Coturnix japonica: one gene and its partners. The protein of the gene in region 1 binds, or shares a complex with, the protein of each later gene. Links are inferred from orthologs where the notes say so. Each region holds a gene or a part of one and is shown in the gene's direction. Other genes may lie near its edges.

The links.
Region 2: HEATR3 (region 1) and RRS1 share a complex: the UniProt entries of both Homo sapiens proteins name them as parts of the hexameric 5S RNP precursor complex. The link is inferred for Coturnix japonica from reciprocal best matches to the Homo sapiens genes HEATR3 and RRS1.
Region 3: HEATR3 (region 1) and RPF2 share a complex: the UniProt entries of both Homo sapiens proteins name them as parts of the hexameric 5S RNP precursor complex. The link is inferred for Coturnix japonica from reciprocal best matches to the Homo sapiens genes HEATR3 and RPF2.

Annotation. Positions count from the first base shown.
Region 1 is NC_029526.1:5,553,371-5,557,021, reverse strand, and holds part of HEATR3 (HEAT repeat-containing protein 3), read left to right. Parts: intron 1-620; coding exon 621-703; intron 704-962; coding exon 963-1,099; intron 1,100-3,651. UniProt on the Homo sapiens protein: Plays a role in ribosome biogenesis and in nuclear import of the 60S ribosomal protein L5/large ribosomal subunit protein uL18 (RPL5). Required for proper erythrocyte maturation.
Region 2 is NC_029517.1:104,230,327-104,233,722, forward strand, and holds RRS1 (ribosome biogenesis regulatory protein homolog), read left to right. Parts: upstream 1-1,492; 5' UTR 1,493-1,559; coding exon 1,560-2,630; 3' UTR 2,631-2,771; downstream 2,772-3,396. UniProt on the Homo sapiens protein: Involved in ribosomal large subunit assembly. May regulate the localization of the 5S RNP/5S ribonucleoprotein particle to the nucleolus.
Region 3 is NC_029518.1:60,331,195-60,334,845, reverse strand, and holds the end of RPF2 (ribosome production factor 2 homolog), read left to right. Parts: exon of another isoform or gene 1-255; intron 256-1,253; coding exon 1,254-1,356; intron 1,357-2,342; coding exon 2,343-2,487; intron 2,488-2,640; coding exon 2,641-2,820; 3' UTR 2,821-3,323; downstream 3,324-3,651. UniProt on the Homo sapiens protein: Involved in ribosomal large subunit assembly. May regulate the localization of the 5S RNP/5S ribonucleoprotein particle to the nucleolus.

The DNA of each region.
Region 1 (3,651 bases):
AATTACAGTAGTCAGCACTGAAAAAAAGCACGTTCCTCTTTTACCCTGCTTAATACATGGTGTCTGAAGTACAATATCTGACACTGACAAGAATTAAGTTGTTCTTGTTGCAGAATCATTTTGGTCATTGCTAATTGGGGTTGTAAAGATAAAATTCCCTATCTCAACCCAGTTATTAGGGTGATTCAGCATTCACTTGAGGTGAAAACATTCAGGGCTTTTTGTACTCAATAACAGGCAGTCTAAGCTTCATGTTAAGGTCTTTTAGATTTGTAACTATCTGAAAATTCTGTAATGGAGTCTGTGAGAAGAAAGATTTAGAAAAAACAAAAATGAGGAAGAATAGTAGAGATGAAGGAAATCACCTGATGCACAGCACAGTTACTCACTTAAAAAACACTGCGCTAAACCTGTGTTTGACTGCTTCACTTTTGAGTGATTGAGGAAGATTCTGACAATTTTAGCATGTAAGACTTTGTTTTGAGGACAGTCAAGTATGAAATACATTTACTCGAGGTATCTGTTTGACATTAAGCTAAAAATTCGGTCTTCCCATCCCCATGCTTTAGAGAAGAAAAACAAAAGCCTTCTTGCTAAACCTTTCTTTTTTGCCTCCCCAGATTCTTGAAAAAACTGCTTTTCCGAACAGTGTTGCTCTAGACATCTGTATGCACAATCCGTCTTGGAAGCCGTTAATTAAAAAGTAGGAATTTCATTGTCTCTCTTACTATTTTTCATACATACTCAGTTGTTTTAGAGCTGTTAGAGGGACTGGTCATCTTTGGGTTACTTTTAAGATCTGGAAAATGGCAGATCTTGATGCTTCATTTTTCAATGAAGGGATGCAAGTCTTTGGGTAAACCACACACCAGATCACACCCTTACTTAACTCAAGATCCTTCTCTGTATTTCTGCATTTATTTACAAAGGTCTGCTAAGTGCATCTTTTGTTTTCGTTTCAGACTGAACACAGTGCAGTGTAGAGCTTTAACATGTCTTCATAGCATTTTGTTGGTGTCAGATGTGGATTGCCTTGGAGGAGCCTCAGCGCTTCAGTCACTTGCACATCATCTCTCACAACTGATCTTTTCTAAGAAAGGTAAGGTGTTCAGAGGCTTGCTGGCCCATCATATAGGTCTAAGGTAGCTACTACACATGTTAGGTTTTATTGTCATTTTATTAATACTTGTATTCTATTAGTCTTTCAAATAAGGATTCTGAGAGTCAGAAACATGCTGACAGAACAGTGTGCAGCAGTGTAGTGTGTTTACTCAAATTGAATCTTGAGCAATTATGCTTCTATTGCAAGACTGTATTATGTCTTTGTGTGCAAGAAGAAAGTTGCTAAGTTAGCAGATGAATCCTGCCTTGCTGTGAGACCAAAACTGTTTGCTTGAATATATTAGCGATAATAGCAGCTGTTCATCAATCAGCTGTGTCATGAAGAAGATGGGACCTATTCTCTTTAAATGTGTAAATACTCATGTAAAGGGGGAAAAAAAACCAAAGAGAGTATCCAGGACAGACTGTCGCATCATTTTTTCTAGGAATTTTTTGAAATAATGGTAAAAGTGGTTGTTGCAAAGGTCTGCAGAATGCATATGTATATTGCAGGAGGAAAGATGGCAGCCTCCTTGTCTCCAGGACATGCATTATGCATGTGATTGCACAGCTTTATTGAAAACATTTGTATAGTAAGGAAGCATGCAAAGTCTTAACTGCTTAAGATAACTACTTCGTGTTATGATGGTGGTTCAGTTTGAAGGGAGAAGTCAATAAATTGGATAATTTAATTTTTCTAGAAATGATGCTGGTTTCGAATATCAGATATATCCTGGTGAACACTATCGTGCATCCAGCGTAATTCCTCCAAACACATTATTTCATAGAGATACTGTGATGGTTTCCCTGTAGGTCTGCTAGTATCCATAATGGATGGCCTAGTGTAGGTATGTGGCAGTTAGCATTTCCAGCTACCTCTTGCAATCCCTTAGATCAGATCACAGTCATTCAAATAGTACTGCTGGACCATTTATTGTATGATCTCTGTTACTAGTAGTAGAGAAGCTGAACCACGACTTTTAAAAAACAGCTGGTTCCAACTCGGTGATCTGGTTCCCTGATAAACTGCTTCATTCAAACTGTTCTACTAATGTGTTTGTTTTAAGGTCAGTGATATGGCTCATCAATAAATCAGAGATGTTCTTAGAGACTGGAGGAACCTGCCAATTCTCCAAACTGACAGAAAATGTATTTCTTAAGATGGATCTGTTGAAGTCTCGCGTGTGCACAGCTTTGTCATTCCTTGTCATTTGAAAGCTTGAGAGGATCAGTTTTCCTCCCTTTCTTCAAGTGACTTCATTTGTAACCACAAATATGGTGTATGCAGCCCTTATTTGTTGTGTAGTATGACTCTGCATTGTTGCTTGAGGATGCATCTGTCTGCAAAACACACTTTTTTTTTTCATTAAATGTCATATAAAACATTTTAAAATGTCATGTTTAAAGCATGTGATATGGTTACAGTGCTTGAAAAAAAACAAATGCAGGAAATGAAAATAAATGTGAAAACATAAGCAAGATTTCAACTTATACTTTGGAATAGTCAAGAAGTTCTTGGGTGAAACTGGAGAAATGACAAGCTGAAGACAGAGGGTCTGCAATTAGTTTAAACATTTTTTTAGTGATTAAATGTTGTCTAATGGAAACTGTTAGAGCTGATAAGTCACCAAGTGTTTAGAAGGAATTTTGTGGCTTACAGGTTGAAAAAAGGAAATAAAGATCGAGTTGCTTAGGTGGGAAAGGTGGAGGTGTGTGTTAAGTTAGCGACAGGTTCTGTGTCTGGAATAGTCCAGAAAATTGCAACACCTTAAAGAAAAAATAAAAGGCTTTGAAGAAGACAGGATGTGCACTGAAGGTGATGGCTCCTACTGGTGAATTGGTAGTTAAACAGGAATAATACACTGTTGGATTAGTTCTTTTCTGAAAGGTTATAAACCACTGGAAAGCGAGCTCTTTAGATGAGTGGGAAAGAGCCCAGTGTTCTGAGTCTGAGCCTGTTTAGAAGAAAGGAGTTAAAGACCTCAGTCAGCTTCTGTAATTTTCTCAGTTCCTCTAATATGGCCACATGCGACACACAGTTTCCAAGTTCTGTTCTGACTGGTGTCAGAACAGTCTTAGCAAGTGTTTTAACCAGGATGTCCTGAATCACACTTTTGCACCCTTAGTAAGTGTGTGGATGACACCAGGCTGTGTGGTACAGCTGACCTGCCCGAGGGGCAAGATGCCATCAGAGGAACCTGGACAGGCTTGAACAGTGTGCCCAGCTGAACCCTGTGAGCTTCAACAAATCCAAGTGCAAGGTCTTGTACCTGAGTCATGGCAACCCCTGCTGTCAGTACAGGCTGGAGGGTGTAAAGGTGGGGCACAGCCCTGCAGAAAAAGACTTGGGTGGATGTGAAGCTGTACATGAGCCAGCAATGTTCCCTCACAGGCCAGAAAGCCAACGTGCGCTGCATCAAAAGAAGCGTGGCCAGCAGGCAAGGGAGGGGATCCTGCCCCTCTGCTCTGCACAAGTTTTAGATTGGATACAAGAAAAATGTTTTTACGAAAGGAGCAGTGAAGCACTGGCACAGGTTGCCCAGGGAAGTG
Region 2 (3,396 bases), on another chromosome or scaffold:
AGTTCACTGCATAAGAACAAAACTCAGGAGAGCACAAGGATCAGCAGGTAGGTATTGACCAGACTGCCATTCAAAAGTACAGACGTATGCTTGAATCTCATCTAATAGTGCACATACATCCCTTCAAAGACGCATCTTTAAAGTTAATTTCATCTGTAATTCTAGGTGAAAAAATAACGAGGTCCAAGAAAGAGCATAGCCTCCAGTGCAATGCCATCTTGTGGTAAAAGGAGAAAAGGTATGCGTCATCTGCTCCAATTCTTCCATAGTGTACAAAACACACTCAGAATTGTTGACTTGGGAGTGGAAAAAAACGAGACTTTATCACAGTTAGAATTATAAGTACATTCATCTCTATTTACAAGCCTAGCATTTTATTTACTTCCCCAAAACACTGCTCTGCCGTTAGAGTCATTTCCGTCACTGCAGACATTATGTATCCGTAGAGATGTGATTTAGCTTAGTAGAAATGTGTATCTTGTGTAAAAATTCCCATAACTTCCTTGGCCACAACTAGACGCCCCCTTTAGCTTGTTTTGAGGGTACATGAGTCAGCTCGAAATGTCATGGCCATGCAGGCCACATCCCTGTAAAAGGATCCTTCCAGACCTCATTTATTTAAAAATAGCATGGCAATATCTCTGACCCAGACAACCTTTGGGTGCACGGTGTCACCTCACTTTTCACTGTGCTTCATGAGGCACCTGCCAATCCCACTATCCAAATGCTGTTCCCCTTCTTCCTTCACCAACAGCCCTGCCCTCAGGGTCACTGTCAGTCCTAGTGGGGCTGGAATATCACAGAATCACAGAATGACCCGGGTTGGAAGGGACCTCAAGGATCATGTAGTTCCAACCCCCCTGCCTGGCAGGGCCACCAAACATACACATTTACTAGATCAGGTTGCCCAGGGCCCCGTCCAACCTGGTCTTGAACACCTCCAAGGACGGGGCATCCACAACCTCCCTGGGCACCTGGGGAGGACTATATGGGACTTGAATTTTGGTTCTGCGGCTAGAACTTTTAGACATGGCTGTGCCGCAGTGCTGCGGGCACCTGAATGTTATGGAAATTTATGCTGTGAAAGAAATGTATCTATATTATTTACAAATCTGTGAGTCTTAAACCTGCTTGATGTTTGCGTGCTATCACACACACCACCCACAGTGGCTGGCAGAGCTGTGAGGCCGTTTGCTCACCCTGGATGCTGCACATTCAGTCACAGCCCTGGCCTTCCGTGATACCACGGGGCAGCAACACCTGACTTTCACAGACCCTCACTCCAGCCCTGTCCCATGCTGGGGCTAAATGCAATGCCTGCTTGGCAACCACCACACAGCGGGGCGAAGGACTGTGGCAACCACCACACAGCGGGCTGAGGGACTGTGGAAGCCGCTGTGCCCGGCATGGTGTACTACATCTCCCATGGGGCGCTGAGGCCCGTATCTGTGCAGCCTACATTTCCCGTCATTCCGGGCTCTGTACGCAGTTCCGTCGCACTGACCCGTATTGCTGCGCCGCGCTTCCTGCGCTCGGGCGGCCACACGCGGTCCGCCACCATGGCGGCCGTGCGAGTGGAGGAGGTGCTGGCGGCGGCGGCGGCCCAGGAGCAGCAGCAGGCGCGGAGCGTGCAGGTGGAGAAGGAGCTGGAGCTGGAGTTCGACCTGGGCAACCTGCTGGCGCTGGACCCCAACCCGCCTCCCGCCGCGGCGCTACGCGGGGCCGGGCCGCAGCGGGAGTCGCGGCTGCGGGCGCTGGCCCGGGACAACGCGCAGCTGTTGGCGGCGCGGCTGTGGGAGCTGCCGGCCGAGCGGGCGGACGGGGCGGCGGGGCCGCTGGTGGCGCGGCTGCCCGAGCCCGCGTTCCGCCTGCCCCGGGAGAAGCCGCCGCCTCGCCCGCGGCCCCCCACGCGCTGGGAGCAGTTCGCCCGGCTGAAGGGCATCCGGCGCCGCAAGCGGACCTCGCTGGTGTGGGACGAGGAGGCCAAGGAGTGGCGGCGGCGCTGGGGGTACCGGCGGGCGGGCGGCGACCCGGCCCGCGCCTGGTTGGCGGAGGTGCCGGCGGGCGCAGACCCGAACGAGGACCAGTTCGCCAAGCTGCGGCACGCCAAGAGGGAGCGGGTGGCCCGCAACGAGCTCAACCGGCTGCGGAACCTGGCCCGAGCGCACCGCCCCGCCGCCGCCGCCCCGCTGCACCCTACGGGCCACCAGAGCCGGCAGGAGCTGGGCCTGGTATCGCGCGTGGCCCGCGTCTCCACCGCCTCGCTCGGCCGCTTCCAGCCGCGGCTGCCCAAGGAGCCGGCGGAGCCGCCCTCCCGCGACGGCGGCAAGAAACGGCGCTTCCAGCCGCTGCTGGGAGACCTGGCGGCCGAGCGCGGGCGGCAGCTGGAGCTGCTGCGGGGCATGAACAGCAAGAAGCCGGCACTGGACATCACCCGCGCCGTCAACAAGCAGCTCCGCGAGGAGGATGCCGAGGCGGCCGCCGCCAAGGGCAAGAAGCGGGGACAGCGTGGAAAGCGGGGCCGCCGGCAGCAGCGGCCCGGGAAGAGGAGCGGAGGCGGCAAGAAGGGCGGCGCGGCCCGACGGCAGCAGCAGCCAGCGGGGGGCGGTGGCAGGAGGAAGAAGGCGTGAGGGACTGTCTGCATGCAGGCTGCAAAGGGAACAGCGCCGTGGGCACTGAGGGACTGTATGCGAGGGGTGCAAAGGGACTGCTCCACATCCACCGCTGTGCAGCCCGCACCTCTGTCAATAAACACATTTTGGTGTTTGAAATGTCTTGTGCACGGCTCCTGTGGGAGGGCTTGGGGGTGGCTGGGCAGCAGCTCCTGTGTTCTGCAATGGGGAGGTCCTTGAGGAGTGGTCCTTGAGAGCAGCTCAGCAGAGAAGGACCTGGGGGTCCTGATGGACGAAAGACTTAACATGAGCCAGCAGTGCGCTCTGGCGGCCCGGAAAGCAAATGGGATCCTGGGCTCCATCAGGAGAGGGGTGGTCAGCAGGGATAGGGAGGTGATCGTCCCTCTCTACTCTGCTCTTGTGAGGCCCCATCTGGAGTACTGTGTCCAGGTGTGGAGCCCTCAGTACAAAAAAGATATGGAGATTTTGGAAAGGGTCCAGAGGAGGGCCACGAAGGTGATCAGGGGGCTGGAGCACCTCCCCTATGAGGACAGGCTGAGAAAGTTGGGTTTGTTCAGCCTGGAGAAGAGAAGGTTGTGGGGTGACCTCATTGCAGCCTTTCAATACCTGAAGGGAACTTACTCCCAGGAAGGGAGTAAACTCTTTGAAAGGGCTGACACGGGGAAATGGTTTTAAGTTAAAAGAGGGAAGATTTAGGTTGGATGCTGGGGGGAAGTTCTTCACAAGGAGAGTGGTTAGGCCCTGGAACAGGCTGCCCAGGGAG
Region 3 (3,651 bases), on another chromosome or scaffold:
TTCACTTGTGAACCCACAGAGAGCGAGTCAAAGGGAAAAATATGTGCAAAATTGGACTAAGGATTTTATTTGCAACTTCTTGTTAGTAGCTATAAATTCAACCCAGGAGGGAGGAGTGAGAGTATTTAACTGACCAAGGAAATTGCTGGCTAGACTCCAGCTGATACATGCCAGCAAGACTTTGTTTTGGATGTCATTCTGATGCTGATACCTCTTGAAAAAGGTAGTGGAGGAAAAGACAACCAGCTGAGAAACCTGAAACGGGACAGAACGAAAGAGACTGATGTGTTTTGCATCTGTTAGTGGTTCTCCTGTCTTTCAGCATTGCCCTGCCGTGTTTATTAGCACACCTTGTTCCCTCAGTCAAGGTCACATTCTTTTTTCCACCCCCTGCATCTGTTGGGCAGATTGCTGTGCTTATTTCAGGCACTGGTTGCACAGTATTTTTCATAGTCTCATGTGAAAAGCTGTCTGGGGATGGTTTATTTGGTATTTAACCTGTCTTTCGGCGTTCTGTTTGCAAACTAAGCAAGTATTTCTGGTGTTTATTTTCTATAGGTGTGTTTTGCTTATTAAATAGAGAAAGTATTAATTGTAATGACAAATCTCTCTTACTCAAAGAACTTAAGTGCTTTATTGTGGGGGAGGCACGAAGGAATTTACATACCAAAACCTTTCTTGCCCAAGTCACTGGGAGGGGAAGGTAGATAAGATTAAACAAAATAGTTCTGTTCTGTTTTGTACAAGTCTTTATCGCTTCTTTATGCTCTTCCAAGTCTGACTCTGATTAAGAGTCTTGAGTGCTGTCTTAAAAAGGCATCTGAATAAATGGCTTCTCTGTACTAATCTGCTTAGCTGAATGTGAACTGGCCTAAACATAAAACAGTGTGTGTTTAAAGACCTTGTAGCTAAAAAATGTAGAGGAATAGACTGTTTTGCTATCCCAGTCAGATTGCTAAAACAGAATTACTGCTCTGAAAGGGTATTTGTTCTTGTCCATGCACTTGGGCTTAGGTCCCATATATGAATATTGCTTCTGAATTAACTCTGGGAAGTGTTCCTCTCAGGATTCCTACATGCACTTGGTTGTGCAAAGACCCTTTTTGATGCCAGAAGAGAATCTCTACAGAGACAAGGAGTTTATATTGCTTCCATCATATGGCTCCATTATGATGTGAGCCATTTGTTACAGTCATTTCCTGGCTTTGTTTTCAGTCAAGGAATCAGACACTTACTTTTAAATATCTTTTCAGATTTCTTCAGAGGTCCCACTGTGTCCAACATTCGTCTGGCTGGGTTAGAACATGTTCTGCATTTCACAGCTGTCGATGGCAAAATTTACATGAGGAGCTACAAGTGAGTGTGTATTTTATCCATGTTTGGTTTTCTGGTAGACTTGTCAAGCTCTCCCAAATTTTAGCCTGTAATTCTGTAATTAAACTGCCTGGAGCAGTAGCGAACTGCATTTAAAACATATGGTATGTAGAGGTGTTCTGCTGTAACTCAGAGTAACTTGTGTGGCAGAAGGAAAGCACTTAAGACCTAAAGGTGTTCATTCCTTCTTTGTTCATTCCTCTTCCTTCTAGCTAGGAGGACTGTTCTCTCATGGTTGGACTGGTAATGTGTTGCAAATTAGACTTGGGGAACTGGTGAATTTGGAGTATCTTTTTAGACTTCACAGACTTAGTCTGATGTCAGGCTGATGTCGTAGGACTCTGTTGAAGAACAGCAGGCAGTACACTGTAGTCAGAGATACAGAAGGGAAAACAGGAATGTGCAGAACAAGATCATCTTCCTGACCTGGCATTTGCTCTCACAGTTCATGGCCTTTCCTCTGTGGGCTGCAAGTGCTGAAAGCCCATGTATTCTGTGCAACTTTGATTTCTCCTGTAACAACAATCTCTTTCTTAAAGAAACAAAAAACAGTACACACACAGCAAAACAGCACCAATAGAAAAGGCAGACTTTTTGCCTAGGGCTCAGAGTGTTTTGCTGTAAACTGCAGTATATGTACTTTCCCTGTTTGTTAATACACAGGGCACTGTTTTGAATTTCTGGAATGGTGTGGCTTTTTAGGGTAGTGTAATTGAATGTTAAGAGTTGTAATGAGAGTTCTAATCCCATTTAAAATACAAAAGCTAAAGAGATCATATTTTCAGTGTGTTCATGTTGTGATGGAAATTAATTATAAATTTATTGACAACTTTCTCAATAATAGAATTAGCAGTAGCAGTTTGTTTTTAATAATCTTCCCAATTGCAAGATTGAAACTGCCCTTTAGGAAGGCAGATAAATATTTGTCCCAAAGGACAATGTTGGTTGCTTTTGTTCTTTCCTTCTAGGGTGCTTCTGAAGAAATCTGGCTGTAAAATACCAAGAATTGAACTGGAAGATATCGGACCTTCGTTAGATTTGGTTATGAGGAGAACACATTTAGCTTCAGATGACCTTTATAAGTTATCTTTAAAACAACCCAAAGCCCTAAAGGTAAATCCCTTGGGATCATATGCATGTGTGGTTTTAGGCACTTGATTTGGTGGTTTATTGGTGATGATGGTACAGGCAGACACGCCTGGCTTCTCACCACAGCTACAAGCACACTCTGTACTCAGAAGTACTAATGCCGTTCTTCCCTTACAGCCTAAGAAGAAAAAGAACATCTCCCATGATGTGTTTGGTACAACTTATGGTCGGATCCACATGCAGAAACAAGATCTTAGTAAACTGCAGACAAGAAAAATGAAGGGGTTAAAAAAGAGACCAGCAGAGAAGTCAGCTGAAGATGGTGGTGTTAGTCCTAAAAAGACAAAATCTGGGTGATGGCCTGGAACAACTTGGAAAGCTATTTGTATCTTAATGTTTTTAAATGTAAATTATAATATAAAAGTGGCAAACATAAAGGATTTGGCTGCCTTTATGTTTAGTTTTATATTAAAAAATCTCACAAAAATTTATGATTTGTCATTCTGAAGGGAGCCTTGAGTTATTGAGCTCTAGCTTAGAGCCTGCTTATTTAGAAGGGGAGGGGGGAAACCACAAGATGTAACATGTTTAGTTTTCCAAAGCTGAATATTTATTCTCTTGATATGAGCAAACATGTGCTAGTTAAGCAGGTGACTCATTTCCCGAACAGTTTTATGGTTACAATGTTGGGAAACCTTGATCAGTCAACCTATCTTATGAACTCCTTGCAGGACCAGCATAGTGTGTACACATAATATGTGCAACATGACTTCTGCGTTCATTTACTGCTGATGTGTTTCAGTTTATGCACAACTGCAATACTTTAATAAACTCCAAACCATTTTCTAAAGTATGAACTCGTGACACGTGTCTAATGCCAGATTACTTGCACCAAGCCCTCCTTACCATTTGCAGAATGAGAAGTGATTAAGGTGTTTTCGCGGTGTTCATCACCATGGTAGCAAAGTACCTGATGTTTGCTTTAGGCATAAATGAAACCTTTACAGTTGGAATTTTGATCTTTGATGCTTGATTTGTGCCCAGAATGGAAGGAGCAAAGGTAAGTTAGTATTTTTGCTGATCTTAAGGATCTCTACCGTGTTTTATTTTGTGGTATGTGAAGCAGCCGTGAAAGGTACGAGTCTTCCCTTATCTCTGCTTGAGAGCTGCTTCTCTCCATAGTCTATG